Drosophila melanogaster: one gene and its partners. The protein of the gene in region 2 purifies or fractionates together with the protein of the main gene of each other region. This does not show direct contact. Each region holds a gene or a part of one and is shown on either strand. Other genes may lie near its edges. The genes, in order: bru3, Faa and coro.

What was found.
Region 1: the proteins of Faa (region 2) and bru3 purify together in Drosophila melanogaster (affinity purification with mass spectrometry, with the first as the bait; one large-scale study listed by BioGRID). This does not show direct contact.
Region 3: the proteins of Faa (region 2) and coro purify together in Drosophila melanogaster (affinity purification with mass spectrometry, with the first as the bait; one large-scale study listed by BioGRID). This does not show direct contact.

What each region holds. Positions count from the first base shown.
Region 1 is NT_037436.4:13,793,359-13,802,943, reverse strand, and holds the start of bru3 (bruno 3), read left to right. Parts: upstream 1-4,416; 5' UTR 4,417-4,920; intron 4,921-9,585.
Region 2 is NT_037436.4:4,071,532-4,080,608, reverse strand, and holds Faa (fumarylacetoacetase), read left to right. Parts: upstream 1-6,654; 5' UTR 6,655-6,768; coding exon 6,769-6,855; intron 6,856-7,239; coding exon 7,240-7,457; intron 7,458-7,517; coding exon 7,518-8,119; intron 8,120-8,177; coding exon 8,178-8,524; 3' UTR 8,525-8,577; downstream 8,578-9,077. Other genes in the region: Gad1 (glutamic acid decarboxylase 1), read left to right, coding at 1,115-1,683, 1,792-1,859, 3,732-3,810, 4,669-5,013, 5,071-5,244.
Region 3 is NT_033778.4:6,858,845-6,871,751, forward strand, and holds coro (coronin), read right to left. Parts: upstream 8,952-12,907; 5' UTR 8,723-8,951; intron 8,681-8,722; exon of another isoform or gene 8,638-8,680; intron 8,297-8,637; exon of another isoform or gene 8,153-8,296; intron 8,098-8,152; 5' UTR 8,041-8,097; coding exon 7,843-8,040; intron 7,041-7,842; coding exon of another isoform or gene 7,023-7,040; intron 6,531-7,022; coding exon 6,264-6,530; intron 6,206-6,263; coding exon 5,792-6,205; intron 5,728-5,791; coding exon 5,434-5,727; intron 4,711-5,433; coding exon 4,504-4,710; intron 4,446-4,503; coding exon 4,218-4,445; 3' UTR 3,416-4,217; downstream 1-3,415.

The DNA of each region.
Region 1 (9,585 bases), 9.7 Mb from region 2:
ACAATAATTTGAAATTAAAGTTATTTCATGTTTTCAGTTTTGTCTTGACTGTGTTGTCCTGCTACTTCTTAGTTTGCTGTGCCGCACGTTTAAATTACATTAAAACTTTATACGATTTTTATTGTTAGTGGATACATTTGTGAAGCATAGTCATATAAATCAAGTTGCCAAAGCCATCCACTCTATACTGCCATCCTTAAAGAGATTTAGTTTTCTTTTATTTAGCTAACTAAGCAATTTGGCGCGGCTTATATGTCTGCTCAAATTGACCGCTATAAATTCAGACAATTTAAGCAGACACAAAACGTTAAAATAGTTTTACTATGTTCAGCGAAACACTTTCCAAGCATTGCAGGCTATTACTTTTCCAATCGAACTCCCACCTGTTAAACAGACATTACTCATACGCACAGTGTGCTTGAATTGAAGTTAAGAGTTGGCGTCCCATAAAAATGTTGATCACATTTTATACACTGACCTATGGTCCTGTCTACTTCCGAGGTCCTTTCTGCCTGTCCACACTGAACCTTTTAAAGTTGTCCACCCATGGACTCACAATAAGTTAAATATGTGTGAGTGAGGCAACTGCTGCTGATTCTCCCAGGCGCTACAGCCATTATTTCTTCCACTTGCGCAGCTTCCTTGGCCAGCATCTTAGTTTCTGTGGCCGTATATGTGTGTGTGTGTGTGTGTCTGAGTGTGCTATGTGTGCCCAGCTGTGCAATTGTTGACACCCACAGAACACAGAGCCACGTACACGTGCAAAGGGGCTTGTTTTTCGATACAGCAGCTGCAGCTGCCGGCTTGAAACGCTCCATTTGTGCAGCCAATCGCTACAGGCGGCGGCCTGTTATTTATACCCTAACCAAGCTGATGGAATAAGGATTATTAAGGATATGCTAAAATGAAAAGTAATTTGAACTGACCTTCGGAATGGAAATTGCGCCTTCAAATTAATTTACCCTGTGATAAAAGATAACTAGAAGAGTGTATTATTTGACTTGAGTCTAGCAGAAAGTGTACTAAAAATTCGTATAATAGCAAACGTATTTTCTTAATATACATTAGTTTGCCCCCTTAAGCTTGTGGTTCCAGAGCCTGACTGCCTCTCGCGCATTGAGTTCATTACCCCGTTGTGGTTAAGAAGGAGTGGCGGGCTTAGGCAGACTAATGTAATATTTAAGCGACAGAAATATTCACAAAAAGTTCAGCTTAATCGCAAGCTGCATCTGTTGCTATACCAACTTTTGCCTGGTATTTAAGTAAGGCATCAAAATTAAGCAAAACCTACGGAGTCTGCCCGAGGGAAGCCAAGCCCAAAACCACTTATTGCCAAAGTTTCGGCAAACTCCTTCATTTCATTATTGATTATTTCCAACCTTTATTTTCTACGCTTTATTTTGTTACAATACCCAGTTCAAGTTCCTCAGCTCTGAACTCTCTTTTTATGAGTACTTTAAAACTCCTCGAGTTCCGCTGACTTTTACTAACTTTGATGGCAGAAGCGCACGGATGAAAAGATTTGTGACGATTATTAAAAATAATTTTTTCCCCTTTTTGTGGCATTTAAGTGAGTAGCTGTAAAAATCTATAACGTTATTTTGGCGAGAAATAGAAAATTGGCAAAAATAGTATTGTAGTTGACTAAAGACGAAAACTTTAAAAATACCAAAATTGTACCCACATGTAAGGAACAAGACGAATTGTAAAGAAGCATTTAAGCTGACTTACAAAACTTAATGGTGCCAGAATTGCCAGGGCCTTTGAGAGGATTCTCTCTGTTTAAATCGTTCCACAGTAGTGTGATCTAAGCTTGTTTTGGTCCTTACAATATAGCAAATGTCGTCAAATCCATACACAGAAGTAAACATCCACAAACACAGACACTTATGGGCAGACCCAGAAAGCCACGGGCATTGCCTTCTAAGTCTCGTCCTTTTTTTCCACTGTTGTCCTTTTTATTTATCTCGCTTGCTCATTTTTGTGTTTTTGTTTTGCATTCTCAACGAGGCCAAACCGCACACACACGCACGCCCCCATGCAAATAACGCCACACACACACACATATACACCCATACACCCACACACATACACGCGCACACATAGACATGGTGAATGAGAAGAAGACAAGGCGTGACAAGTGCAGGCTTCATCCGAACGTGCCCTCTGCACTCAGCCCCTCCACCACCTCTACCTCCTCCCCCGACGCCTGTCAAGTCAACACCCTTCTCCGCCCGCTGCCATAACCAAAAAGAGGAAAAACTTTAACTAGATGCATATATAAATTGCGTTCTATATATTTATGCCCCGACATATATGCAAATGCATCATGGCTGCGCGGCAGTGGAGGCACAGCTTCTATTAAATATGCTTATTATGACACAAGCAAACATACAAACTTAATGTTTATTGGGTTCTTGGCGTTGGGTTCACAAGAGCAGAAAAAATATTTAATTGATAAATTCAGCAACGATAGCTTTACTGGCTGATTTAAGTGGATACAATTAAAACTAGTTTCTCTTTCTCTATTTGCGCAGTTCTTTCGATTTATTTGTTATAATTAAATTAATATGATTTATTTTAACCGATTTATTTGCACACAAAAAATAGTGTAAAAATTTTTTAAATATTGAAAAAAAAAAAACGTATAAACGCTAGTATTTCGCAGCTTTTTAAATTTGCCTTTAAATTGAGCTTCTGATTAATAGCGCCTGTTTTTTATGCCGGCAAAGTCCTTCCTTTTTTGTGTTAAAGATATCCTCTTCCATTCTCATCTGGTGTTTTCGATGTTTCTCCCTTAGGCTTTTTGGCTCATCTTAACTCACAGCGTTCCTTTTTAGTTTCACTGTCTCCATTCGTTTTGCCTTCCATAAATAAAATAAATGTAGGTGAAAATATACATAAATAATGGGCACAAGCGCGGCTTTTTTTATGAAGTGTTTGAATGTGCGAGTGTCAACCCAGGGCACTTGAAAGATGGTGGGGAGGGGGGCTTGTGATGGGGGCGACGTCTGTGAAAATTATAAAACAGACGACGCAGCCATTCTGGCGGGGCAAAGATATTATGGCCTCTGAAGGCTGAGAAGGGGACCCCTGCCATGTAGGCGTGTGTAAATAGCAAAAACCTAGTCGGGCGTACACAAGCCAAGTCATCATGGAAAATGGCTAAACAGGCAAAAGAATAAGGGCCAAAGAAGATAGAAAGATAACAGAGTGGAAGGCATGACAAATACGTTTTCTCTGCCTTTTTTTTATGGCATATACATATATGCCCCGAGGTAGTGGGACGTATAAAGTTTGACCTCCAATCAATAAATCACATTAAAAGGGGATCTTTCAAGAAATGAAGAGAATGACAATGGACAAAGATGGCCAATAACTGACCCATAATTGTTCATTGTCACGTCATTGTCCGCGTCAGTTGCTCAAGGCACATGAGAATAGTATCCAGCAAGAAATGTATTTATTCTTGGCCTCTTTTTCGTTCTTTTCCGCTAATTATTGTGTAATATTAATCTTATTAATAAATAACAAGGAATCATAGTATCCATATACTAAGAAACATCTCTCTAATAGCTAAGAAGTATCCTTTTCTTGTCACCTAGATCTCGCTTTTCTCCGCAAGCTAGATATACAGCCCAAGTATCCTTAATAAACACCGCACCGATAAATGACTGTTACTCATAGTATTCACCTAGAAAGGATGATGTACTTTTCCCCGAAATGAACACTTCGCCATTAAATGGGTGAGGAGTATCCTTTTTGTATCACTTGGCTCTGGATTTTCGCCGCTTTTCTCTCTTCATTTTCTTCTGGGCCAGTCAGGTCTCATCATCCGCTTGCGCTTTTTTCTCAGCTTTTGGCTTGATTTCCTTTTTTGTCGCTACAGCCAGAGTCCTTTTGCTCCGCGCTTGCCTTTTACTAGCCCAGACTGCGCCCACAAAGACGTGTACATATATGTGTTTTTCCAGCTGCCAAAAGGCTGCGCTTGGCTTCTTCGCAGCCAGTGTTTTGTTTTTGGCTTCGTCAGCCAACTTTAGCTATTGACAGACCTTGCCACCTCGCGTCCATGTCCTTGCTGGAAAACATTTCGCTTTCAGCGCTCATTTTGCAGGATGTCGGGAAAGTGATGTAAAAAATATACACAACAATTTCAAGATATCTTCTGTGGCCTATACTGCGTGCCCAAAAGCCATAATTATCACGCGTTCACATGGCGTATACGAGATTTTGCTGTTTCGCGTTTAAACTCTTAACCGAAATTTATGCTTTCGCTGTTGCTAATTGTACATTTTGTTGCTCTTGCTGTTTATAATGTAAAATTTATTGTGTTTGTGCATGTTTATTATCGCCACGCCGTTACGCGCCCTCATATGGATTTGTAACACGCCCCCCTACACCCCCTCTTTAAACATCACTGTGCATTTATGTTTTACAGCGTCTGCAAAAAATATTATCAAAAGTAATAAATGAATAACAAAATACAAAACAAACGCCATCAATAATTCATGGGAAAAAAAACAACACAAACAGAAATAACCAAAAATAAAAGCTTGCGGCGCGTCGTTCTTTAAATATTTTATAAATTAATTCTGCAAACAGCGTAAGCGAAATTAAAAAATACAACAAAAACATCAGGAATTAATGTAGTGCCTAATGCAATGTGTAATAAAACCGTGTAGACCAGGAGGTGCGCCAGATCATTAAATACCAGCAAACACTGTTAGGTGAAAAAAAAAAAAAAATTATGAAATACAAATTTATATTTATTATTGAATAAATATGCAGAGTAAATATTACATATGCTAACCGTGAAAACAAATTGAATTATACAGCAAATAAAACAACAAATACTTTTCGTCGTGTTTTCGAATGTTTGGCTATTAAAGCGCTTACAGCTTAATTGGGCGTTACAAAGTGGTAAGTAAAAAAATAAACACTTTTGATAAACAATTATTTTTGAAAATATAAATTATTAAAATGATTTTAGTCAAAAGTTTCATAGAATAAGAAGATGCTTTACATATTCATAGTGTTATATTTTGATATATGTCCGTTTCTCTTTTTATTTTTTTAGCCCACATTAATCAAACGACTATCTCAGTAAATTTGCACAGTATTATTATAGTTTAATTCATCGCACAAAAGACTCCTTAATCTTTCATGCAGCGATCTTTTAATATCCTCTAACTATTATCAAAACATATCAAAAATTGTAATTAAGATACCATTGCATTTCCCTTGGTAAATATATCACAGTTTTTTCTAATTTAAACACACGTACACAACGTCGTTCATGGCTTTATCAGCCAACTTTGCTGATTCAAAGATATCTGTCGACCCTCATCCATCAACAAAAACCCAACCACAAATGTCACATGCAAATTCGGTTCGCCTTGTAACGGAAGTGCAAGCAAAAAATAGCGAAAGATTTTTATACATAACTTTTTATGCTACTCATTGTTGGGAGCAGAAACTTCAACCTCCTTCCAACGGTTTGAGGTGGTGCTTGCTGCACTTTTGCGGCGAGGTGAGCTGTACGGGTGTGTGCACGTTTTTGCATTTGCACCACTTTATTTCAATTTTATTCGCCATTTTCTTCGTTTGCGTGGTACATTTCCTGGGGACGAGACGCAGCAGTGACTTTTGCTCGGCAGCTGACTCGACTCCACTTTCCGTTTACCCTGGGCTGCCCTCCTCATTACCCTCTTTACATTTCTAATTACACGCTCATTTTAAACTTGAAACATTTGCAAACGGATGCCTGGGTCTGGAGGAGTCTGCGATTTTCAGTAACAATTTTCCATTTCCCATGCCATGAGGCTGCAAAAATGTTGGGTCACAAACGTAATAGACCAGATTTTCCTGTGACTGCTAAAGAAACCTAGCTGGCCGACCACAAATGTCTGGCATCTAGGGCTTGATTTGGAGACAAGTCTTGCATTTGACAATTTTCTTTCATTTTGGGGCCTGAAAACATTTTCCTACAATGTTCTCAATATATTCCACTATTTTCGAGTTCATTTTAAGACCAATTGATATTACTAGTAGTATTTAATCTTAAATGTTCGCTTAGGGAATAGTAATTTTTAATTGCCGTTTTTATACTTAGAACACAAAAAGTAGACACTGTAATTTGCGAACCCTGGACATACCAAACGCGTTTTCGTTTTGTTAAGTTACTAAAAAATTAAAACAATGCTGCATGTCCATTTTGCATGTGAGGAAACATTTGGCGCGCAAGTAAATGTGCATGTGGGTGAGATGGTTTTTGCCGTTTCTAGACTGCTCTTTGTTTGAGTTGTGTTTTAATTTCCATATTACGTGCTGGCCAGAGATTTATCAATGCGATTTATATAAGCCATAATTTCTCCATTTCACCCAGAAGTAAGTTAGTAAATTACTGCAATCGCTTGCAACATCAATGGGTAAAATTTAACAGCAATAACCTTACATAAGATTTCACTATTTTCCTTTTTTTATAATAGTTTGAAAAATTTATATTATTAATTGTTTAATTAGAAATAGAATAAGTATGGATTAGAAAGTAATAATGAAGTGAAAGGAAGCGGCGTTGACTTACGTTGCCATTTGACCTTTTCAGGCCCCTTGAAGGGCAATTCTAACACACTGTCTCTCTCACAGGAAATGTTTATAACATGTCCTCCTTTGACAACTTATTCAATGAAAAGTTTCAAATAGTAGCTTATGAATAGTAAAAGAAAGATTATGAAATCTATTGGTAAGCGTTTAAAATGTAATTGAAATATTGCTCATACGCAGCATGTGCCCATTTATTGAAACTGGAAAGAATGCCAAGTTGGTTCATACCCAGTTGGCCCAATCAGGCCAATTCAATGACATAAATCTTAAGGCAATAAAGCAAAGAATGTCGCAGCATGAGACTATTATATTGTGCATACTGAGCTGGTAAAGCAAATCTCGTAAATGTACTAATATAAAATTGGTATTAATGGGCTGTCGCCTTAGGTGAAATTACCTTTAAGAATAATTGTATAAACAAGCAAGGGGATAGGAAGTTTAATAAGAAAGTATAAACTTTATAATTGAGAAAACTATTTAAGCCTATTTAAGCTTTTTTTATCTAACCTTTATCTCAACTTTTTCCGTTCTATGGTTCTACTTTTGCGTCTTTAAATTTAGCAATTGCCGCACTTGTAGGAAAGTTTCAATTATAAGTCAGTGTGCCAAAAATTGTTTCACAAACTCTAATTAATTTATAGTGCTTCACAACTCGTAGCTTAAATGGTGCAGTTGATAAATTGGCGAGATAAAATTATAATAATGCTGATGTGGAAATAAAATATGCAAAATACTTATTGTACAACTCGTTCCTATTTAATGATATCTTTTCTCAGTTACTATTAAATATGTTAATCTGCGCAAAGCGGCACTAAAAAAAATACACCAACACGCAGGTAAAACTGAAAATACCTTTAAAGAAAACAAACTTCAGCGGCGCTATCAACTGCAGATTTCGCTGTTGGTATTGCCAATTTAAGCGAAAATTAAATTGGAATTTGCAATGAATATTTGAACAAAAGTACACAGACCAGAGTGCGGTAAGCGAGCAGTGGTAATGGGATCGAAGCGAGAGGATGGGCATAGGCTGCATGAAATGAACACAAGTGTTGAGCAAAGTGAATGCGTAATGCGTTTTTGCACCCGGAACAGGACAGGACCACCAAAAAAAAAAAAAAAAAAGTCGGACGCTGTCAGTCACCCAGGTCCGTAATTTGCAGCCCGGGTATTCCGCTGAGTTGTTTCCTCCGGTATATGTGGTTTTTCTTTGATATCCTAACAAAAAGGATGAACTCATCAGAAAAGGATTTGTAGCTCTTCAGAAATAATGATTTCACATGCTCGCATTTACAAATACCACTTTTAATATTTATTAAGTCTTTTATTTTAGATGTTCTCTAATGTTTTGGTCCTAAAAAATTAAGTTCTGTACAGCACGCTCTTAAAGAACAAATAGAAAAAACGTTGGGCGCCAATCTTTCGTTTACATGTTAAGATAAAGGCTTAATCTATAATATATATACGTCACAAAGCTTATATTATTCCATAGACGATGTGAATAAGTTTTGAAATGAGTTTTCAATAGAGGCCTTCAAAATCAGGAAGTTGCTTTCTGATTGAGTGAAGCTTGTTTGGTAGGTCTCTGAAAATGTGCACGCCTGCCCAGAACAAATCCATTCCTTGATGTTGACCCCTTTAGATCGAACGGCAATTGCAATGGATTTGATTTTTCCATACTTTGCCGTCGAGCGTGACATCCACGTAGCCCTTCACGCTTCTCCCGCTTCCGCCCTTCTGTCACATGTGAAATTGGGCGGCTGACATGTTTGCCTGTGTTTTTTTTTTTTTTTTTTGCCACCACCTCCCGTTTTTCCATTGCTCATGTTAGAGTAGGTAATTTTTTAATGCATTTAAACGGCTGTCAAGTGGCCCACACACGCCACTTCGCTTCTGAAACCGCTCCACATTGCCTCCGTGCCCCATCCTTTGCCCTTTGTTAGCAGTTTTGGAAAGTGACGCGGCGCGAGCAGTTGCCCAAAAATATGCAAAAACCCGCGAGCACTTACGACAAGCTCGTTGCGAAGGCAGGAGGACTATATCAGGTTGCGGCCCTCAACAGCAAAGCAAAATTTAGACATTCAGCCTACAGTTTGGTGTTCAGTTTTCATTCACCGAAAAGTGAAACCAAATAGAAAAAAAATGCTTTTTCGAGGAAATAGCGCACAGTCGATGGGTAGTTAGTTGCTTGACGAAATTCGTTCATTGTCCTGTAGATTAGGAGAAATATAGCTACAAGGCTATGTCTAGTTGTATCATAAACAACAAGTCAGTTGCAGGATTGTTATGTTTGCAAAAATCAATAAGTTAATAGGAAATGGATCGGCATTGATAATACACATGCTGCTTGGCAGAACATCTAGGATTCGTTGTAAAACGTGCTTTTATTTCCCTTTGTTTTGAGCACTCACAACGTTGGCTTGCCTGTCGGAGCAGAGTCAAGTAGAGGACATACAAAATTGAAATAAAGTACAAACATGTTGCCAACTTTTTGCACAGCAGCAACAACAACAACAATAACCACTGTCTGTCATTCAGTCTGTCGGTCTGTGGAATGGTTTAGGCCCATAACAACAACAACAAACAACAACAACAACAGCGACGGAGAGCGAGGCAGGAAAAAGTTTTAACTGATTACGTTTGCTGTTGATAATGTTGAGTGACATTTGGTTTGCGTATTAACTTAAGTGAGCGACAGCAGCTGTCTGTCCCCCGCCAACTGAACGCATACACATACACACGTACAAATGTGGAGTGTCCTGGATCCACCCACGGATTCACCCCTTTTGGGAGCTCTCCGGATTGCCAGGAGGTTTGTATTTCAATTAAAAAATTAATTTTTTAATGTGACCCGCTGATGGGGCTCTGCATCCCGATGAATGGCAAATGCTTTTAGAAATTAATGTGGACGAAAGAAAGCCAACAATCGAGTTGGGATGAATTATATGTTGGTATAATGAATTGTAAAAGTTATTTATGCTGGTA
Region 2 (9,077 bases):
AAATTGAAATGTTTGGATGCCAACGCTCTGTCAGTTTACACATGGGGAAATTAATAAAAGAAAAAAAACGGATAAGTTGTAAAAGTTCAGTAAACTGGAAAATATTATTAAACTGTTTTTTTTTAGATTGTTTGCTTTGGCTTATACGAAATTTTAGTATGATAGTTTTTATGTTGGGTAATGTTTGCTGTGTTCTTTGGCTTGCAATTATTTTTTAATCATTACTTAGTGGACAATTTTTTTTTTCCAAGTGCATGTATTTTATTTCTGTGGGTGGATTTAGCCTTGTGGGCAATGGGATTTTAATCACACGACTTATGGCACTCAAGATGTGAACTGACAGACGCCGAAGGGTTCAAACTGGAGTATAGTGGAGCGGGGTAAAAATCCGGCAGTTGGACAGCTTCCTGATGGTGACTGAAAGCATTTTGTGATTCTTCGTGGGAGTTTTGCCCCACTCTGCACATATTTCACCCCAAAATCGAAGCTCGGCAAGTCGCAATTAGCTACAATAAATGAGCAATTTATAGAGCTCACAGAATGCGGGGTCTAAGGATTACAGGGCAAAACTTGTTGAGCCGGGGACACGGATTTCGAGCAGACTATCCGCTATTGATTCACCAGGACCTTGTACCGTCTGCCCTTGAACATATGCACTTCCGGCAGTCTATTCCTATACACATTCTTCTTCCTTTCGGGCCCAGTCAGCCGTGTTTTGGCCCGGCCTTTGTTTCACTTGCCACTGGCCTCGAATATATTTTTAATAAAACAAAAAACGAAAAACATTGGGTGGCTGATGGGGCGGGCGATGGGTTGTTGGGTGAAGGCAGAGGCACAGCTGCCAGGCACATCTGCTGTCAGCTTAGAATCACTCGGTTCTCCGGAGAAGCGAGAAAAGTCCCCAGAAAAGACTTGGAGAGACAGCCAGACAGCCGTGGCTAAATGGAAAGCATTTTCAGCTACATTAGGCAGGCACATACAAACTGTCAAAAGTATTACCACTGGAAATATTAATTAAAGTTTGGAATTCAAATTTAGAGGGCGGACTTACAAAATATTTGATGAAAGGTCTCTACTAAAAACATATACATATATTTTCTTTAACAATTTCCAGGACATCCCCACTTCTTCAATCAGCTGTCCAACGGTCTGGACCTGATCTCCATGGCGGGTGAGTGGCTGACGGCCACTGCGAACACCAACATGTTCACCTACGAGATTGCACCAGTTTTCATTCTCATGGAGAATGTGGTGCTGACCAAGATGCGTGAGATCATTGGCTGGTCGGGTGGCGATTCCATTTTGGCACCCGGAGGTTCCATCTCCAATCTGTATGCCTTCCTGGCAGCTCGTCACAAGATGTTCCCGAACTACAAGGAGCACGGCTCGGTGGGATTGCCCGGCACACTGGTGATGTTCACCTCGGATCAGTGCCATTACTCGATCAAATCATGCGCTGCCGTTTGTGGACTGGGCACCGATCACTGCATTGTGGTGCCATCGGATGAGCACGGCAAGATGATCACCTCGGAGCTGGAGCGCCTGATCCTGGAGCGCAAGGCCAAGGGTGACATTCCATTCTTTGTGAACGCCACTGCCGGCACCACTGTGCTGGGTGCCTTCGATGATATCAACACGATTGCGGATATCTGCCAGAAGTACAACTGCTGGATGCACATCGATGTAAGAACAAAACAATCTAATTGAGTAGAAAAAAAACAATAGATACTTAATAGTTGCAAGGATCGTATATTGTAATATTAATTACTAATTTTTTCTGATTTTTTCCAGGCTGCTTGGGGCGGTGGATTGTTGATGTCGCGTAAGCATCGTCATCCCAGATTTACTGGTGTTGAGCGGTAAGTTTTTAGAAAAATATATATTACATTTTTCAAATAATATTTTTGGAGTTGTAGTAGTTAAGTCCTAGTAATTTTCTAAGTGCGGTATACTTTTTATGTAGCAAATTAAGCCATCTTTTACTCCTTCAAGTTCCAGTGAGCTGCTCAGAAGTGCTTTAAAAACCCCTTGGAAAACCTTATCTTTTGTCCCAAGCAATTGCTGTGCCCATTCATCATCGTTCTTGACATGAACTTTGTGCCTTGGGCGCCCTCATCTTCAGGGCCAGTCAAAACAAAAAATTGAAATCTCTTTCCCGGTTTGGGTAAATTTAAATCTAAATGCTCCCAAATGGCCCGCATCGCTCGACTTTGCCGCCCCCTTTTGAAGGTCGGCGGCGTGCTGAACATGTGGGAAAAATCTCAATTTGTCATTTAGTGCCTCCATCAGGTGTTCAGAGCTTACAGGGATTACAATTCACAAGCCGAGTGCATTTTGGACCGAACAAACAAATGAACAAAGTGGATTTCCCCTTCTCCCATTCCCAACCAATCCATCTAGCCCAGGGGGGTGTTTTGGATGGCCATGGGCATTACTTACACAACAATTACGCCAAACAATGAATGGGCGGGCAAGTCAGGAATAGGGATTCATCCCCGGGGCTAGGAATTTTTAATTTTAAAGTCGCAACCTGAAATGCACTTTACTCCATCTCCAGCACGACCTACGTTTCCAACCCGAATCCATTTACTTCGGCAATTCATATAACATCTTTAATTCTACTCAGCATTTCGGGAAGCTTAGGCAAATGCGGCAAGTGCAGCTGTCGTGGAATCGACAGCTTGCGGTCAAGCAGCCGACTCCACAGAACACTTTCAAATTGATTGCCATCGACGGAGGAGGACTTAACATCCACTCCCGTTCCCATTTCGACTTCCTTCCGTCCATCCATCACCCAGGCGAACGCCTTCAATTAGTTTGAATGGATCCTAAGGCCCGAATTGTTGTGGCATGCAAATCGAGGTCCTTAATTGAAAGGCTCTCAGCGCGAATTAATCATTAAAATGCCCATGCAGCTGACAATTTGTGGCCTTCGGCGGCTTACGCAACTGATTAATGGTCCTTCGATGGAGGAGGCTCTTAAATCCGCTGAGTTTCAATTTGCGAACAAACTTAAAACAATCGAAAATCTCTTCTTAAAAGTTTAGCTTCACATGCCACCGCTCAATCAAATAAGCATTAGACGTCAAAAGTGTTACGACTAAATGATACTCCTCTAAGTTTGAAGTCAATCTACATTAAAGCACAGAGTTTCAAACTTATTTCAAATTTACTGCAACAAAATATTTAAAATACTTTCTTTATAAGTTTATGACTAATATTATAGTATTTAAATTATTTGTTATATGCTAAACCGTTAAAACAAACCATATACCCTTTTTCCCATAGCAGCAGACTGCTTGAAAAAGTGAAGCATACTTCAAGGCACTCCATAAGGATCATGTTTATAGACACCCACTCACTCACTCACACTTACAAGCCCAGCCCACACACAGGCACACACTCTCAGTGCCCACATAACTGTAAATAGCTCCCACAGGGATGTTTAGCTGTCAATGTCAACCCTCCAGTGCCGCAGGGGGTTGTCCTCGCTCTTTTGAATTCAATTAAAGTGCTGCGGCCTGAAATTGCCACAATTTATGGCACTTGCCAGGACCTTCCGCATCCCTCCCCCCATTAGATTTTTTTTTTTTGGAACTCTTGTCGAACAGCAGGGGGTGGGATTGGTGTCCTTGGGAGTGGGAATTGTACCGCAGTGCGGCAGCTTAGTGTTAATTGTTTGTAATTCGTAATTGAATGTCCATTTAACGCCGTGCGTTTAACTCTTGCAGTGCCGATTCGGTCACCTGGAATCCCCACAAGCTCATGGGAGCCCTGCTCCAGTGCTCCACGATCCATTTCAAGGAGGATGTAAGTATACTATTACAGAGATATCAATTTATTAAATCATTTATGCTAGGTGTTTTAACATTTTTTTAAATTTAAATAAAGTTTGGCAAGATTTCAAGGCTTAGAAAGTGGTAGCATCGATTTTGCAGAGCTTGTGGAATTTCGATGGGAGTTGTGGCTTAAGTCCATGTTACAAAAGTATGCAACGTACAATTTGTTCTGCAGCCCCACCAACCAAACGAAATTGTATATCCTTTACAGCTGTGACCTCACATTTTTCGTATTTTATTACCCAAAATCACTGAAATCATTGTTTGCAAAGTAATAAACGAATAATTGCTCTTTGAGTTGCAAATTAAAATTAAAGGCCAGCCTGTCGGAGGAGTCATTCCACCACCAATCCCCCCCGCAGAAACTCAAACCAAGCGATACAAATTGGAGGCATACCCCTAGCTCAACCCCATGCTTTAAATTCCTTTTCCAACCGGCCCATTCCCCCTCGACGGTTCACCCAAAATTCTTCTGGATGCACATCGAACAATGTTTGTGTAAAGAATTCCAATTGTACTCCGAACAATTCCTTGTTGTTTCGTTCCGTTCGTTCTGCCAAACCAGGAGCGAAATGGCCAAGGGTAGTCGCACACACAATGCGTAATGAAATCTTTGACGAACCAAATGCGCCAAGTCACCACCCTGGCTTTTTTACATCCCGTGCAATATGTTACCATCGGTCACAGTTGCGTCTTTTGGCAGGCGGAATTTTAATTAAAATTTCAGCTTGACTTATGGACAGCGGAGTTACGTCTGCTGCGTAGTGAGCGATTTCATCCCAAATCGATATGTTCATACTCGTATATCTATTGTACATCTTTCACGCAGGGCCTGCTCATCAGCTGCAATCAGATGTCGGCGGAGTATCTCTTCATGACCGACAAGCAGTATGACATTAGCTACGACACCGGCGACAAGGTGATCCAGTGCGGCCGCCACAACGACATCTTCAAGCTGTGGCTCCAGTGGCGGGCCAAGGGCACCGAGGGCTTCGAGCAGCAGCAGGACCGGCTCATGGAGCTGGTCCAGTACCAGTTGAAGCGCATTCGCGAGCAGTCCGACCGCTTCCATCTGATCCTTGAACCGGAGTGCGTCAACGTCTCCTTCTGGTATGTGCCCAAGCGACTGAGAGGAGTGCCACACGATGCCAAGAAGGAGGTGGAGCTGGGAAAGGTAAGATCGTCATTATATAGCGGTATAGTGCTAAACACTTTCCAATTATCCTTGCAGATCTGCCCCATCATCAAGGGCCGCATGATGCAGAAGGGAACGCTGATGGTGGGCTACCAGCCCGACGATCGCCGGCCCAACTTCTTCCGCTCGATTATCTCGTCGGCGGCGGTCAACGAGGCGGATGTGGACTTTATGCTGGACGAGATCCATCGCCTGGGCGACGACTTGTAAGGGGTTTCAGTCTAGTTTGGCTCGGCTCGTCTCGGTTCGGTTCGGCTTCGATTGGTAATGGTAGATCTCACACAACCAAGAAGTATCATTTAGGTAAAAGCATATCAGGAGACCGGCTGAAGAGCCCAGAGATCCGAGAGCCGGCGATTATGGGTATCCCGGTAATCATCAGAGTTCAATGTTGAATGTACATTTGTTTGTATCTATAACGTGTTGCTAGATGTTCCTTTACGATTTCTCATTCTGTTATCCGTTGACCGTTATTCGTTAAGCGTCGTTATCCGTTCGTCCCGGAGTTGGAAAAAAAAGTACTATGTATAATCGAGGCGTTTTACTTTTACGTTCGTTGGCAACTATATCTAAATCAATGGACGGCGAGAGGAGAATCCACAAGTTATATTTGAATATCTATATGTATACCGAAAAATAACGATAGAATTCAGAGCATAGAAGCCACCGCTCCACACACGCACCACCAAAACGAAAGACAGCCCCAGTCCCACACAAAAGTACTATGATGATATAATGATATATATGTATATGATATAGAAACTGTTGGAACGCTATCTTAACATATCAGGAGAAGATGAAGAGCCAGTTGAGGACCTTAGTTCAATTCGTTGATTTCACTTTGTTTGCAAACAGAGAATGTTTTCAAATATATCATATCTATAGCCATGCGCGTACCTTTATAAAAACAAGATCGAAAGAGACCTGTGCTTGTTAATTGTATAGACAAACCAAAGAGAGGGGATCTGTGCCGCAGAACCCATTTAGTCCATGTATCGAACTGTGCTATATATAGAGACGTGAATACGTATAATCGAATTAGTTGGAGTTTAGTTTCAACAAAATGGCTGACAAGTATATATGTATTGCCCGGAGTCAATTAAGCTCAATTACGAATGTTGGAAGATTCAGATTTTAGTTAAGTTTTAATCAGTTAGTTGTTCCAGAAAGGTTGGTAGTGAAATGTCCCTATATGAAAAGAACACAATCAGACATTACATTCTACCTGTGCACAAAACTCGTTTGTCAATTCCGCAAAAGTAAGAAAATAATGGCATAAAAACTACAATAAATTCAACAATTATAGTACTTTAAAGCGTGTTATCTAAGTTTATCCAGCACCACGCTCATTTTATGTATGTATAAATTAATGTATGTATATGTATTTGCAGATCCAAATCAATGCCAAACAAGAATTATTCCAACATCTATATAAATGCAAATGAATATATTATATATATGAATATATGAGTAAAATAAATAAAAGTAATCAAAGCGCAATTAAAATTTCTCTTCATTATGTCTAAGGCGCTCTTTACCTTTGGGGGCTTGGTTTTGCTAAGAGAGCCGAAAGATCTTGTGGTCTGAGCACCTATATAAGGCGGATCGTGAATAGAAAATCCCTCAGTTGTTATCTAGCTCACTCTGGCTCCGCGCACGCTTTTTCCGCTTCTCTGCTTCACTTTATTGATTCGCACCAACCTGCCCAAGTTTTCCACTTTGAGTGCTTTTAAAATGTCCCAGAGTTTTGTGCCAGTGCCAGAGAACAGCGATTTTCCGCTGGAAAATCTACCCTACGCTGTCTTCTCAACCGAAAACAATGTGAGTGATATCATACTGAAATCAAATCTTATATTTTTATGAGATTTTAGAACAATGGTCTCGCTGTTGTAAATGATAACTAAAGTGGTAAATGGCAAAGCAAATGTTCCTTTAACTCAGCCTGTTTTCCGTGTAATATTTTCAAGTTTTTCTTCAGTTTCATGTGACTTTGGATCGTTCCACATGTTCTAGAAATCAACTTTAGAACAGAAACCGCTTTGGGGCATAGCATTTGCATACATCATCCAAGACAAACTAGTTTGTTTACGAAAACAATATGCTAATCCAATCTTTAATACCCCAGCAACCAGGTTCTGATAAGGCCCCATATCATATATCGTATTTGTATATCGTAAATGGTGTTTTTCATCTTACCATCCGTAGAAAGTTCACCGTATTTGTGTGGCCATTGGAGAGCATGTCCTGGACCTGAAAGCTGTCTCGCAGTTGTTTCCTTTCCAAGTTCAGAAAAGCCTGCAGGCCGAAACTTTGAATGAGCTTATGGGATTGGACTTTGAAGCTTGGGATGTGGTAAGAAGCCAGACTCAAAAGCTATTGACGAAGGGTTCAGAATTGGACCACAATGTGGACTTGAAGGCGGTGTAAGTCGGATTTATTATAATAATTTATTATTCATAGTTAATAATTTATTTATTTATCAGTTCCATTGTGCCACAGTCTGAGATCAAGCTGCACCTGCCTGCACAGATTGGTGACTATACAGACTTTTACTCATCCATCCACCATGCCACCAATGTCGGCATTATGTTCCGTGGACCAGACAATGCTCTGATGCCCAACTGGCGCCATCTGCCGGTGGGCTATCATGGTCGTGCAAGTTCTGTGGTGGTTTCCGGTACTCCCATCCGTCGTCCTCTTGGTCAAACGTTTCCCGATGGAGCAGAGAAGCCCGTCTTTGGCGCCTGCAAGCTTCTGGATTTCGAACTAGAAATGGCTTTCTTTATCGGTGGTAAGGGAAATCAGCTGGGTGAACCCATACGCGTGGATGAGGCCTGGAAGAACGTGTTCGGTTTCACGCTGATGAACGACTGGAGTGCCAGGGATATTCAGAAGTGGGAATATGTGCCACTGGGCCCCTTCACCGCAAAGAATCTGGGAACCACCATCTCCCCTTGGGTAGTGCCCACAGCTGCCCTGAAGCCCTTCGTCTTGGACAACTTTCCTCAGGAACCGGAGGTGCTTCCCTATCTGCGCCAGAACATTCCCTTTAACTTTGATATCAACCTCGAGGTGTCTTTGAAACGTAAGTTGCCGCCTGTTAAAGATTTGTTACGTTAATTCACAAAATTTCCCCTTCTCAGCCGCCGATCAAAACGAAGCGCTTATTTCAAAGTCGAACTTCAAACACCTTTATTGGACTCCACTGCAGCAAATCGCTCATCACACAGTCACCGGTTGTAATCTGCGTCCTGGTGATCTGATGGCCTCCGGAACGATCTCCGGTGAGACTCCAGACTCGTACGGATCACTTTTAGAGCTCTGCTGGAAGGGCACCAAAACATTGGAGCTTCCGGGTGGTAAGACCAGAAAATTCCTCCAGGACTTTGACGAGGTCATCATCCGTGGCCACTGCGAAAAGAACGGACTGCGAATCGGATTCGGGGAGTGTGTGGGTCAGGTGCTGCCTGCCCACCCCGTTCCGCAGTAGGACCACTTATTAACATAAGTAAATGAAATAAATTCTATTCAGTCTTCCTGGATACGTCAATACATTATGATGTTCGGAAAACTTCAACTTTTCGTTCAAAAGCATACTTTTTGGGATAAATGGCCATCCATAGTAGCGTATACGTAATATTTTTTCTCGGTGCACAGTAATAAGCTCAACAAGTGCTCAACTCTTTCGCTCTCTCGCTACGATGCCTTGCTCTCTTTCGTTTACACAACTCTCGCTCCAATCGGAGCCTCTGCCATTCCACGCAGCTTCGTAAATACGCGCACGCCGCTTCTTCTTTGGCTGCAGAGAAGAGCGGAGAGCGCCAATGGGAGCATAGCTGAGCGGAGCAGCAAACCGCATTCATTCCTCGAAAGTCGGCGGGCGAAGGTGGGCGCGCTGCGAAAAGTCAAACGGCAAAACGGCAGAAAGGCAAAACGGCCCGCCTATCGGGCAAACTTGTTTAAAGTGCCATAAAAAAGCCTCTAAAAAGCGTAGAAATAAAAAAAGCTGCCGTGCAGCGCAAAGCAGACGCGACTGGCGCCGG
Region 3 (12,907 bases), on a different chromosome or scaffold from region 2:
CAAAGTTTTGTTTTGGGACACATGACATGCAAAGGCGAAATCACAAAATACTGAAACGTGCTTTTTGACATTTTTGCAATGTATTTAGGCACGTGCAATATCCATCTCGGGGAGTGTGTGTGTGCGATTCCTTTGCCAAATTGAATTTAGCTGCCAAAAGTGATATCGATTTAAAGGCGAAAGCCGAGCGGAATCGGCAGCAACAGCATTAGGGTCAATTACCGCTGCAAAGTGAATTGTCAACAAAATCGAAACCCAAAAGAGGCGGCAAACTGAATTCAACACATTGTCCAACTGCCAACTATCACACACACACACGCTCTCAGTCGATCCAGGATGTTCCAGGATGGGGCGCACTTTCATTATCTGTGCAAATATTTGCCAAAAATGGCAGTTGGCAGTTGTCTCCTGTCCTGCGAGAGTTGCTGGCCCGACACTTTTGGGCATCCTAGTGCAAGTTTTAAGCCGCTTAGTCCCAGCTCTTTCCCATTACCCCCACCCCGCTACCCACTCGACAAAGTGAAAGTTATTCTACACACAGACACTCGTTCAAACTAACCCTGCGGTGCACATTTCATAAATGTGGCTGAAGAAAAACTATTTTCATGTTCCTGGGTTGCGTGGGCCTTTGCGAAACTTTCGTCCTCCTATGTCGGCTGTCCCTCAACACAACTTTTTGTCTGCGCCGGAAACTATGGCCCATCCTCCCAGCAAGCATGCCGTAAATATTTGCCTGTGCGGCACAGATGCAAACACGTCGCCAGTTTGACTTTAAGACTCACCTGAAGGGACGACCAGCCACGAAGTTAACACATCAACTGTCCCGCAGCAGCAAAGGGATCAGCAGCTGCACTGACACAAAAATTTGGCGACAACGGACCTGAAGTTATGTGAATATTATGGTAATCTGAGAATAGAGCATTATAGAACCTATACCGTCATTTGCCTCGTGCAAATCATCCATGGGCATGTATTGTACATTTTGAATGAACCGTGGACTGTAGTTAACTTAGTAACGAAATGCGCCGCAAAGTCGCCAAAGTCTACTATAATTGTTGAGGAACGATACTTTACTTTGCTTTACCAATAACCAAACACGTAGCTTCAATATTTTTCCCACTGCACTCGTGCAGCAATAGTAGTCAAGGGTGAAGAAAGTTGGCCAACTTTCTGTGGGCATATATTTGGATGTGTTATTGGAAAATTTTCAATTTGCTATTGAGAACGTACGGCGGCGGTATGATGGGATGTGGTTGGTTGATCAAGGGCAGAGTGCGTAACAAATTTTATACTCCAGAAAGCTAATTAACTTCTCTTTACGAGGCATAAACTTCCGCCATTATACGCATTTATTTTCATGCGAAAATAAACAAATACCCAAACACGAGCCGCCGACACGAGAAAGTAATGTTTTGACGGCTCCTTTTGTGCGCGCGTATACTTCTTTATGCATTAACAGGACGAGGAGCACGCAAGCAAACACAAACAAAGCCACGGGCCGCGTGAATTTACGACAGAGCCGCCGTCAAGGGGGTTCGGTGGGGGTCCTTTTGAGGTCCTGGAGAGGCGATACCTCTGCTGGTACTTAGCAACTTTAGCAAGGAGTATTTATTTAGCACGTGTTCCCACGTCCTTCTGCTCCTGGCACATTTGCTGCTTGCTTTTAATTAACAAATGCCTTCCATCGGTTTCGACAATCGTAGAGCGTTAATGTTAATAGAAGGCCGTAAACTTACCTGGATGCGGAAGTAGACATAAATTAGGCTTGGCCTTTACTGCCGCCGGGCATCATAATCTACTGGCCCATCAAAAGTCATGATTATAACTTGATTTGATAGCGGCTTTGGTCCAATCTGTCTGGATTACTGAAGAATGCACAATCAATGTAATTTTTGCATAAATGTACTACCCAAGTTACTACCAAGGATAATCACAGTACTGACAACTAATGCTGCAGTAAGTGCATATAGTGTAATGAATTGTCCTTGGAAATTCATAAAGTTAGGTGATGTCCAGCTGGTTTTTTGAAGGTTACTTTTAAATTGGTAGGAAAGCCAAATGTTAAACAAGTTACCAAGCAATTTCAAGAATGGATACATCACTTGACAAATGACTTCTTAAATGGCCATTTTAATTCATCCATTTGACGGCCAGATCACATTTCTAATCACATCGTGCAAAAGCCACGTAGAATAGAACATTTATTTAGGGAAGAACCCTTCACCTTTGCATATAATTTTTTTATGAACAGTTGGAGAAGGGTTGGAGGAAACTGTGCATTGGGTCTTTAAACAAGTAAAGCGCTAAAAATAAAACAACCTACACATTTAGCTATCATTGCTTTACAAATTCCATTACCCTAATCCGAAACCGACTGTTAACTTTTTTCAAGACCTCATTACCAAATGGAATACTTTAAGCCAGTACTGAAAGTTTGTTACGATTAATTACTAACTGAAATACTCGTACATCTCGACGCCGGCTGAAATTTATTGACAGTCTGAAAAACGAAATCTTAGTTCAAAGTTAACAAATGCATCTATGACTCAGTTAATAATTTGATCGAACTTACTTAATATAATTGATAGTATTTAATGTTGAACTCCGAATATCAAGTCCACGTCTGGTTGCTCTAGAGCAGCTAGATGGCCTTTACTGTTGGCTAACCAAGATGGCCCACAGCTACCGACTGCAACCGATAATCGCTGAAACTTGCAGTGAGTCAAATTGCATAACAAACATAATTTTAATTAAATCAACAACTTGGTCGGCAACACACTATATCATAATTGCCACGCGCCACCCACAAAAGCGCACTTGGCCAAGTTTAATTAAAATGTCAGAATCGTTGTACACGTAAATTGTAATTGCATTTTTTTGGTTTGCTCGCTGAGGTAATAATTACACACAACACATCGGCAGTATGCTCAAAAGCTGTTTAGGCAAAATTAAACGAATTTGCATATTCAATTGAACCGAACACATAGGCTCGGCAATGAATAACGCATGGATGAGCTTATTTCTGCAATTAAAAGTTGTCAATTAGTTTAAAGTGCAGCTGGTAAAAATTCCATTGTCGACTAACATCTACATATTTGAAAATGCTGCTAAAAGAACACACATTACGAAAAGAATTAGATACGAAACACCTCCATTATTAGCACCCAACTTCTTCTGGCATTGTATTTTGTTTTATTCCGTATCAAATTGTAAATTATTTGTATATAGAGTATTTATGTATGTATATGTATATAGTCTTCATTTTACAATGGTTGTGAATTACAAAATCGGTAGGTGTTTAATGACGCTGCTCTCGCCCTCGGTTCTCTAACAAAACTAATGAAAGTAAAATCAAATGAAAGAAAAGAAAAGTAAACAAATTTTTATAAAAATAGTTTCGATGGTTTCTTACTTTCTTTCTGATTTTGTTGCATTTATTGTTACTCTTATTATTTCAAAATACAGCTTATCATTAGTTTGAACAATAAAATTTTGATTACGAAAACGAATTAAGTCCGATGACCCCCATCACTTTCTTACTAAATTCGCTATGTTTGACACGACAATTTGCAGGGAAATGTGACTGATTAAGGGGGCCTCAGCTAGGATGAACAGTATCGATTCTATCAGCTATTGTCATGAAAACTTCCGGGACGTACAAATATACAGACGTTACAGAAAGGAGCTCGTACAAATTTGGTAGGTAGGTGTTAACTCTTAAGTGATTGAGGTTTAGTCTATGATTTGCCTTTGTTAAATTTACAACAATTTCATACTTGCGTAACAACAAGCCGATCAAAGGGCCGAGTACCTGCCCTTCGCTCTGCTTGATTTTGGGCGCAAAATGTAGGTAGTTCGTTAGGTTTTTTATATATTTTTGGCAGGATGTAGTTTTATGTTATGTTTTATACGTTAAGCGTCCAGGTCTGCTCGGTTATGCTCGCTTAAGTTCGATTAGATGATTTAGCTCGGCATTCTCTAACCCTATCTGTGCCACACCCGCACTCAACTGATTTCGCTAATATTAAATTATAAAAAATAAATAATCGAAACCATAATGGTAATAGACAATAAGTTCTTTTTCAATTCGTCCTCAGCGCGCTTTGTTGCAATAGAGAAATTAAGCGTAGCTACGAGCTTCTACAAGCAGTTCTCTGTCTCTCCTCCAATCCATTCCGCCCATTTTTATCAGTTCAGTCCTCGTTTCATTGCTAGACCTAGTCCTCGTCCTTTGACGTTCCGGCTGATGTGGACGCGTGGTCGTTGGCACTTTCACTGGCTTTGCCGTCAGACGTGGCTGCTCCCGCTGAAGCCGGCGCAGCATCGCTTCCATTCTTGTTGCGGGCGTCCTCCTTGGCCTCCAGAGCGCGGATGCGGTTCTCTTGCTTGACGATGATCGCCTTAAGTTTGCGGATCTCGTCTTGTATGGTGCGCAGGTCCTTTTCCTTTTGAAGTGAACCAATAAGTTAATCATACAACCGCTGAAGGAGTGCAAGTACTCACCGATAAAACCGCTGCAGGCGGTCCACCTTCGCTAGCCTCATTGTTATTTCCGGACGCAAAGTTGCCGCCGCCCGCGCTGCTGCTCGTTGCACCGGAGCTAGCGCTGTCGCCTCTAGGCTTGTTCAGGATGTTGCCCGCCTTCTTCGCTGGTAGCGATTTGTTTACCGACGAGGACACGTAGCCACCCTGTACAATGGAAACGCGATCCTGATTAGGCGGGTAAGAAAATCTGTTCGTTTCAGAACACAACAAACAACAATGAACACAACGACAAGCGCCACGCGCATTCGCGTGCGTGTTAGGGCCAAGTGTGCATTTATGCGGCGTGTTACTGTATCCAATAGGAGACTTTAATAAGTTAGCTAACATTTAGAATACTAAACCATTTTAGATCATTGTGAATACTCTTTATTCCGGTCGTCACTAAAACATTCTTAAGATGCCTCGTCTCAAGTGACATTGTACAACGGAGAACGAGGACTGTAGTCTGTGTATTGGAGTGGAATGTGGCTGGGCGGACAAGGCACAAACGTAGATAACGCAGAAAAAACGTAAGTAAAGCAAGCGCAGGCATCACACGCTGGTAGGTAGCCACCGGCAAATGCTGGGAGTAAGCTTTAAACGGAACTCACAAGTAGCTCACTTGGAGTCCTTGTGCTAGCAGACAAAAGCAACTGCAAAAGCCGTTGGAATACATTGTAGAAGGGGCGTCCACAGTGGCAGCGACTGCCTCATCGACTTCGAGCCGCATTGCCATCTGTGGACAAGCCCCGCTGGCGCACATGCTGATATATATCCTATATCTTGTACGCTCTTATCGCCGGCGGAATGGTTGGCAGTGTGGCCGAACCGTTGCCGCATTCGGCGGCGAGCGCTGTATTCGCAACACGGAATAAAAGTCTGAGCTGCTTCTGCACCTTAGCCACTTACTTTGAGCGAAAATGTGATCGGATCCGCATCCTTGCCATCGATCCACTCCTCCGCGGTGATGGCAGCGTCTTCCGCTAGCGTATCGGGGTAGAGATCCTCCTGGAAAAGATCCGATTTGCGCGGCACAGTCATCGAGATGACCTGACACAGACCGTTGTTGTTCATGCGATAGAACTTGGCGACCTCGCAGGTGGTCACATCACAGCCTCGCTTGGGCATCAGACCAATACCACGCTGCGGCTCTGTAGTCTGAAACGTGTTTATGTAGTGCACAAAAGGAGGTTCGGGCGTTACCTGTTCGATGAGATTTTGGTTAGATAATATTCATATGTAATATTGTAGATTTACTTGTACTAACCTCGAAATACCGAATGACCGAGTCACCTTTTCCACACAAGTAGATCATGTTCGTGTCTGCGTCGTAAAGAGGGAACATTACGCCGTTGGACGTGTCCAGCTCCACCATGACAATGGGTTCGTTAAGGGCATCCGGTGCGCGCAGGGAGTACTGACGCTCCGAGCTACGGTTGAAGCCTGTGGTGAAGATCAGACCGTGACGTAGGAAAATGGCCCTCGTGGCCTTGGAGCCCTCATGACACATGGCTTCGCTCTCCAGCTCGGCAGTGCGCGGATCGTAGATGCGGATCTTTTTATCCTTGCAGGTGGTAACCAACTTAGAGCCATCCCAGTTGAAGCAGGCGCTGTAAACGATGTCCGGATGGGAGTCGATGTGCACGAGGATTTCACCAGTGCCCACGTTCCAAATCACGACCTTCGCAATACAGAGAGTATAAGCATGGGCTTCTGAAGAAGTGTTAGCATTCGCTCACCTGGTTATCGGAGCCGGCGGTAAGCAGCACGTTGAGCGCAGAGGGATGCCACAACACCAGACCCACGCGACGCTGGTGGAAAACCAGGTCGACCACGGGTTCGGTGAGTGTTCGCGACAGCCCGCCATCGGGGATCTGCCACACTTTGACCACACAGTCCTCTGAGCCGGAGGCGATCACGTTGTCGTTGTGGGGGCACCAGGCGATGTCCAGCACAGGACCCTTGTGACCGCCCACCAAAGGGTGGTCAGCCGCAATGCGACCAACCTGAAAGAGTCCATTAAATTTCAATTAGCTCGATACGCCACAGTAAATTTTTATAATTGATGGCGACTAAGTCATGAGCAGCAACCATTGCAAAACTGCAACCTCGCGACCCATTAGCCCAATTCCTGAATTATTATTTATAGCCGACTCCGACTGCACTCGGTTCTGCTATGTTCGCTAATCTGCCAAGCAGGCAATTTATAATTGTAAACTTCATGCCAATTGCTTCCGAATATGGCCCTAGAATTATAGAAAATTGGAATGCCGAATAGCTCCCATCGAAATCTATATATTTCGAAGCATATTATAACAAATAGTAATGGTAAACTATTTCAAATTTAACATTGTTATATATTATTAGATAATATTCTTTGTTCATCGCTTTCAATAAATGTATTAAAATGTATCATTCCAAAAAGTTTCTCGAATGAGTTCCATGAGTGTAAATCTATTTTGGTTTTTTCAAGAACTTGTGCTTGTTCTTGCCTACACTTGCCACATGCGGCCAACCTTGGCGACTAGATGGATCTCACTCATCATCCAGTGCCCATAAAATAAGTAAAATAGGGCGTGTGAAAGCCGCTCCACATAGAAATCATCACTTAAAAAAGCGGCAACTGCTTAGAGTGAAAAAAACGATCGCTTGCCGCGCGTTTTGCATACAAATTTTTGTTTCAAATGGAACGACCATCGGTGTACTTCCATATATGTTTTCATCAAAAGAGGAGCATCGGAAGATTAGGGGAATGGGTGCTTCTGCTGCCCACACTATTTGCTGGAGCTGCGCGCAAAACTACAACTAAACAGAAGCCCGAATAGCTGAATCTGGGGCAGGACGGCCAAAAGATTTTGAGATTGAAAATGCAATTTAGTGGAATACAAACAATTAGTTTTTAGCGGAATAAGTCGCCGAGCTGAGTGTGCATTTCGATGCAATGATTCGCCCGAATATCATTTTTGTATTCATTTAACTGGCTGCTCCTCTGCCTCTCTCTAAAATTAGACGATTTGTTTGTCATGTTGGCTAGTGGCCAAATTACAAAAGTGCGCCAGCTAGCAGTATCGCTGCCGCGGTAGTAGCAGAATCTATAACTATTTATAAACACATGTGAGATTGGGTGGAGTCATGCGAAATCCGTCGACGTCACTCGCGACGTGGCAACAAGCCCGCAAATGGCCGCAAACTTTATGCCAAAAGGGCGCTATAAATAGTTGCCCATTGTCTTGTTTAAAAATACCCCACCAAGCTGGCCGCGTCGGGGCAGACGCACGTAGACGAGTGCAACTATAATAGGTCCGGTGGCGCACTCACTTTGTTGTGTGGCAGGACGATGAAGGCTCCGCCGCCCGCCGACTCTACGATAATGGCCAGGAACTTGGGATTCACCGCGCAGAATGTGGAGTCCCAGCTGGACTTGGATACCCGTATGTTGTCGTAGCACTGCTCCCGCTTGAGAGCCTGTCCGTAGACGTGGCGGAACTTGGAGCTGCGCACTACGCGAAATGACATCTTGATGCTGCAGTGGCTTGGGTCAGCGATCAGTCCTGAGCTTCTCTACGTCTAGCTCTGAAAAGAAATGAGACGTACGAAGGATAGTTAGCAATGTAGGGGAATTTCTTACGCGTTTGGTATTTTCCACCCTTTGCCCTTAATAACAAGTCTTCAAGCGAAATCGTTTAGCCGTATTCTTTCCGCACCTGAATGAGATATGAAACCCCTACTTTTTGGCAGAGATTTGAACACTCATTTGATAGGTTTTGTTTTCTACACAGTTCTGTGAAACCTGAAAATCGTGATCTTAGCCTTATCCGAGTTCTGAGCGACGCATAAACCGACCGAATAGCAATGTTATTCGCTTTCAGCTTCGCTCACTTATGTGTTAGCTTAACGCGTTTTTCTTTCACCGCGCTTCGCAGCCTCGATTAGTTCAATAAATTTGCATATGCTAATTTCGCTTGTTGCGAAAATCAATGAGCTTTCCATTCGCAGCTTGCTATTGACGCGCTGACTTTGTCCGCGAGAGGTTGCATCAAATTGCTTATGGCATCACTAATGTTGGCGACTGAAAGCGCCGGAAACGGCGGGAGGCGCCTAGAACGCTTTCACCTGCCACTTGGCAACTGCCACATTCGGGTCCACTTTCGTTAATGAAGCGCCAGCCGGAACGTGTCGAACTATCAGTTTTCCATACCCCTTTCTTTCAGGATGACATCATAACGCCAAAATAGCCACTCCAGCAATGAGTAGCCTTCCAACACGTAAGTTATGGCTGAGCAAACCGATCCCGCAGGCCAACCTAAGCCCAAACATATACCTAACACTCCGGGAGACTTCTAGATAGCTACGTGTTTGAAGCAGAATTCATTTCTGGGTTGGGCCGAGCCCGGCAGGCTTCCACTCCGAACAGCTTTCGTTTTTAATCAGAGAAGTGCCATAAAATTATTTGCCTCTTTTGCCTCGTTGCTTCGTTTTGTTTTGCTCAAAGATATTCATATTTATTGCAAGCACTAAACTTTGTCATTGACCCCTTTAAACTGGCCCCAAAGCAGACCCCAGAATTGATTACTTTCTACGCTGTCTGTTTTTGGCCACAAGGTGAGCCCCGGAGGGCTTTGTTCTTGGGTGGGTGTGGGTATCGACATGGCCTCTCCACTGATAAGGAAATATCAGCTCGGAGTTGGCTAAACACCACAGAGATAATGTTAAGTGCTACGCCTATGTAGTCCAAAACGACGCCGAAATGTTTGCCACCAACTGGAAAATACTCCTAAGCACTGTACCCGGAATATATCTATCTATATATATATATATATATCTGCGGCGTGTGTATGCGTTGTTATTTATGTGTTTATATGCCAAACACCTTCGTTTGCAGGCGGGAAAATTTTTGTTTCGCGGCTGAAGGTCAAACTTATTAATAGAAAATTAAATCATCTTAGGCGAAATGAAATTTTCATATACAAACACAGTGCACGATGCTCAAAGCAGCGTTGTAAATCGCATTTGATGTGTTTATTTATTTCGTTGGCATCGCTGGCACCTGCCATGCCTGAGTTATCATAGTCGAGCCACCCCCATCCACTCCCACTTCCCCGATCGATCATAATTGCATTCGCAATTCCGCTCGCAATGGCCAAAAAAGTGGCCTCTTCTGCGCTTAATCAACTTGACCGTCGGTGGTTTTATCAGCGGACCACTCAGCGATTAACGGAAGTGTGGGTTCAAGAAAATCGCTGAAGAAATGAAAATCTTTGAAGAACTCATTCCCGACGCCCATTACCCGGGTGGTGTGATTGAATACCCAGCATCACATTGCATTCCATTCTTTACAGTGGGCCCCAAATGTAAGGCTGTTTCTGAAGATATTCGAAAGGAAATTAAGTCAAAGGTTCAAATTAGTACCGGATCTTCAAAACTCACATTAGATGGAAGTCCACAATCTACCTAGTTATTGTGTTTAAGTCTAGTATTATATTTATTCACAATAGATGTCAAAGGTGCGAGCGTCACTAGTTTCTCAAATTGTTCAACAGTGTTTTTCTTTTCTTCTAAAAACTCGCTTGAGTACATTCGGAAATTACCTATAACCTGCGATTCTGATCAGGAATATATTCTTCATAGGGTCGGAATCGTTGCAACGTTTTCGACGAATCAGAATAAACTTCTCTATAAATGAAAGGTATGTATACCTTAATAACAATGAAATGGGGTTAAATAACATAATGATTTTGATAGTATAATTAGAATTAATAGAATTCCGTTTGAAAAAGGTCTTGAAAAAGGTCCTGAGTCAGATTTTGGTTCTAGGAGGCGTCTCTGCCAGAATTAGAAACAGGCTGTTGCTGAATCATTATTGAAAAGTAACCAACTAATCCGCACGCCACTTAACCAGCGGGTGTCAACCAACTTTCAGCAGCGACTGTCTTGTAATCGCGTTAACCATTTGACAATGGGGCTGTTGTGGGGCCCTCCAGCAATTTGTGTTGAAATCGCGAGAGATGCAACCGTCGCTGAATTGATGCGAATGCGATGGTCCAGCGATCGGGGACTGGCCGAGAATTGACTTAATGCTTGATTGCAAATCTTGCCGCTTTGTCGACACGTTGTGTTCACCGGCCACTTCCGTTATAATGACATCTCTATTCCCCAAGTACACTCGAAAAAGAATCTATTAAATGTGTAGGACCACATGCCATCATGGTTTCCGGATTAAAGTAGCTACAACTGATAGTTCAAACTTTTCCTAAAGCATAGGGCACAAAACCATTCTTGTATAGACAAAACTGTTATTAATAAATATGTATTAAACATACTCCGCTTAACTCATGTGTAGAGTTATTGGATATGGAGTTTTGTAAACTCAAGTGCTTCCCTTTAACGTGTCACCACAATTACATAGAGGCAGGTGGTTTAAAACAAAATTAATACTATATAATTATGGATTAAAACTTTGTCTTGATACGTGAAGATATCAGACCAGTTGTAGCTCAGTCAGGTGTTATCAATACGGCATCATACATTGTATACATATATGTTTGCGTTGCGCGGCTTGGTTTTGATTAACTCGTGGTATCTTTTCTTCCTGTGCACAGCTGCAGCGACACCTAATCAGCTGGCCAATGATCAATGCCACATGCATGAGTCACCCCTGATAAGGGGCCCGCTGTTTATCGGCTGTCGGCTGCACTGGAAACTTTCGCCGTTCGCCTCATCTCGACTGGATGGTGAGGTTGATGGCGATGATGATGATGATGATGTCATTGATGCAGGCGCAACGTCATTGGTTGTGCAGCTCATATACATGCACATACACACACAGGCGTGTGTGTGTTGAAGGTTCATCAAACTGATTGCAGAGTGTGCGTGCCTGACGGCGATTAGCCAAAGTTTTTGACAAAAAGCGCGCAAGTGTCGCGGCAGACTCACTGGCTTGCAGCACAGTGGGTGTCGTCGCTGTACGAGTGAAAGTGGAACTCTGCTGCTAAAATTAACCCCATGCATATGCAGTGCCCCACCCGACACCCATCACGTCCCCTCGCCATCACAAGTGGCGCTGGCTTTTGTTGCTGTCTTAATTGCCGCTCGTTCTTTTTCTCCCCAGCTCCCCCCACTGTGACCGCCATCCGTTTGTTTCTATTTTTCCATTTGCGCTTAGTCAGACCGGGCGGCAATTGTGAATGCCTGTGCACCCTAGAAATTCAAAGTACATGGATTTTTTTGAGACCGAATGGGCGAATAAAAGTACCTTTCCCTTTTAAGAATTACACATTCGATGCCTAACTATAGCCCTGAACGCGTATTCCAGGTAAAACGATGTCTACCTGATTAATGTGAAACGTGAAGCACTGAGAAAAAATTATCCCGGGATTTTAGAAAATCACCTTTTATTCTCAAACGCTATAAAGACGAGCAATTGAACAAAGAAGACTTTTCTTACGTCTAGAGATATCCATGTAATATTCATTTTAGAAAAGTTAAATCAATGGTTTTAGAAAAGCTTTCAAGAAAATTTTTTTTCTTTATATGTATGTTGCCATTACAAGAAAAAGAAAAATCCGTAACTAATGTACACTGATGCTTAAATGGGTGGAGATATTTTGAATCAATGACGGTTTCCTAAAATCAAGGTTAATTTTATTCTAGGTGTAGTCAAGTAAAAGTTAATTTATCCAGATATGGCTTAGAAATAATAGATAAATCACCCTATGTAGGTTTTGTAGATTAAATTCTAAATTAAGGTTTTGGGCTTTCTTAAGCATTATTAGCGATCTATATTTTTCGGTTCCAAGTCTATGATGATGATAATTTCTTAATTTAATATTAGTGGGTGGACTGTAAAACTCCAACTTCAGATGTTCCTTCTATCCAAAAGGGTATTCAAGCAGTGGCTTCCCAAAATTACGTGCTTCCTAGTTCTTTTCGGAGGTATTGCCGCCAATTGGCGTGTCCATTGCCAGTCTAACTGGCGTTCATACGTGCGCCTGTTTTGCGATCGTCGAACAGCTGTTGTTCGCCGAGTAATCGCGACATTGGCTGACGCATAAACGCGATCGGCGTTTGGACTCGAATGTGTATGTGTGTGTGCTTCATTCCAGTGCATTTCTCATATTTTTGTCACTAATTGGTGTTGGCTAAGTTTCGCTTCTTAACCCATTTGGGGAGCAACCGAAATAGCTGTGCGTGTGGGCGTATGCTGTGCGCTCTCTCGCTTGCTCGCGCGCACTTTGGAAGACACCTCTGGAGGTCGCTTGTTTTTCACACTTGCTCTCGCTCGCACGCACGAAATGAACCGTAATTGTGGACTCGGGCCCATTGGAAGCCACGTTTATGGCTAGCCAATATTCCGAAATTTTAAATGCCAGCTCATTTTGGCGCC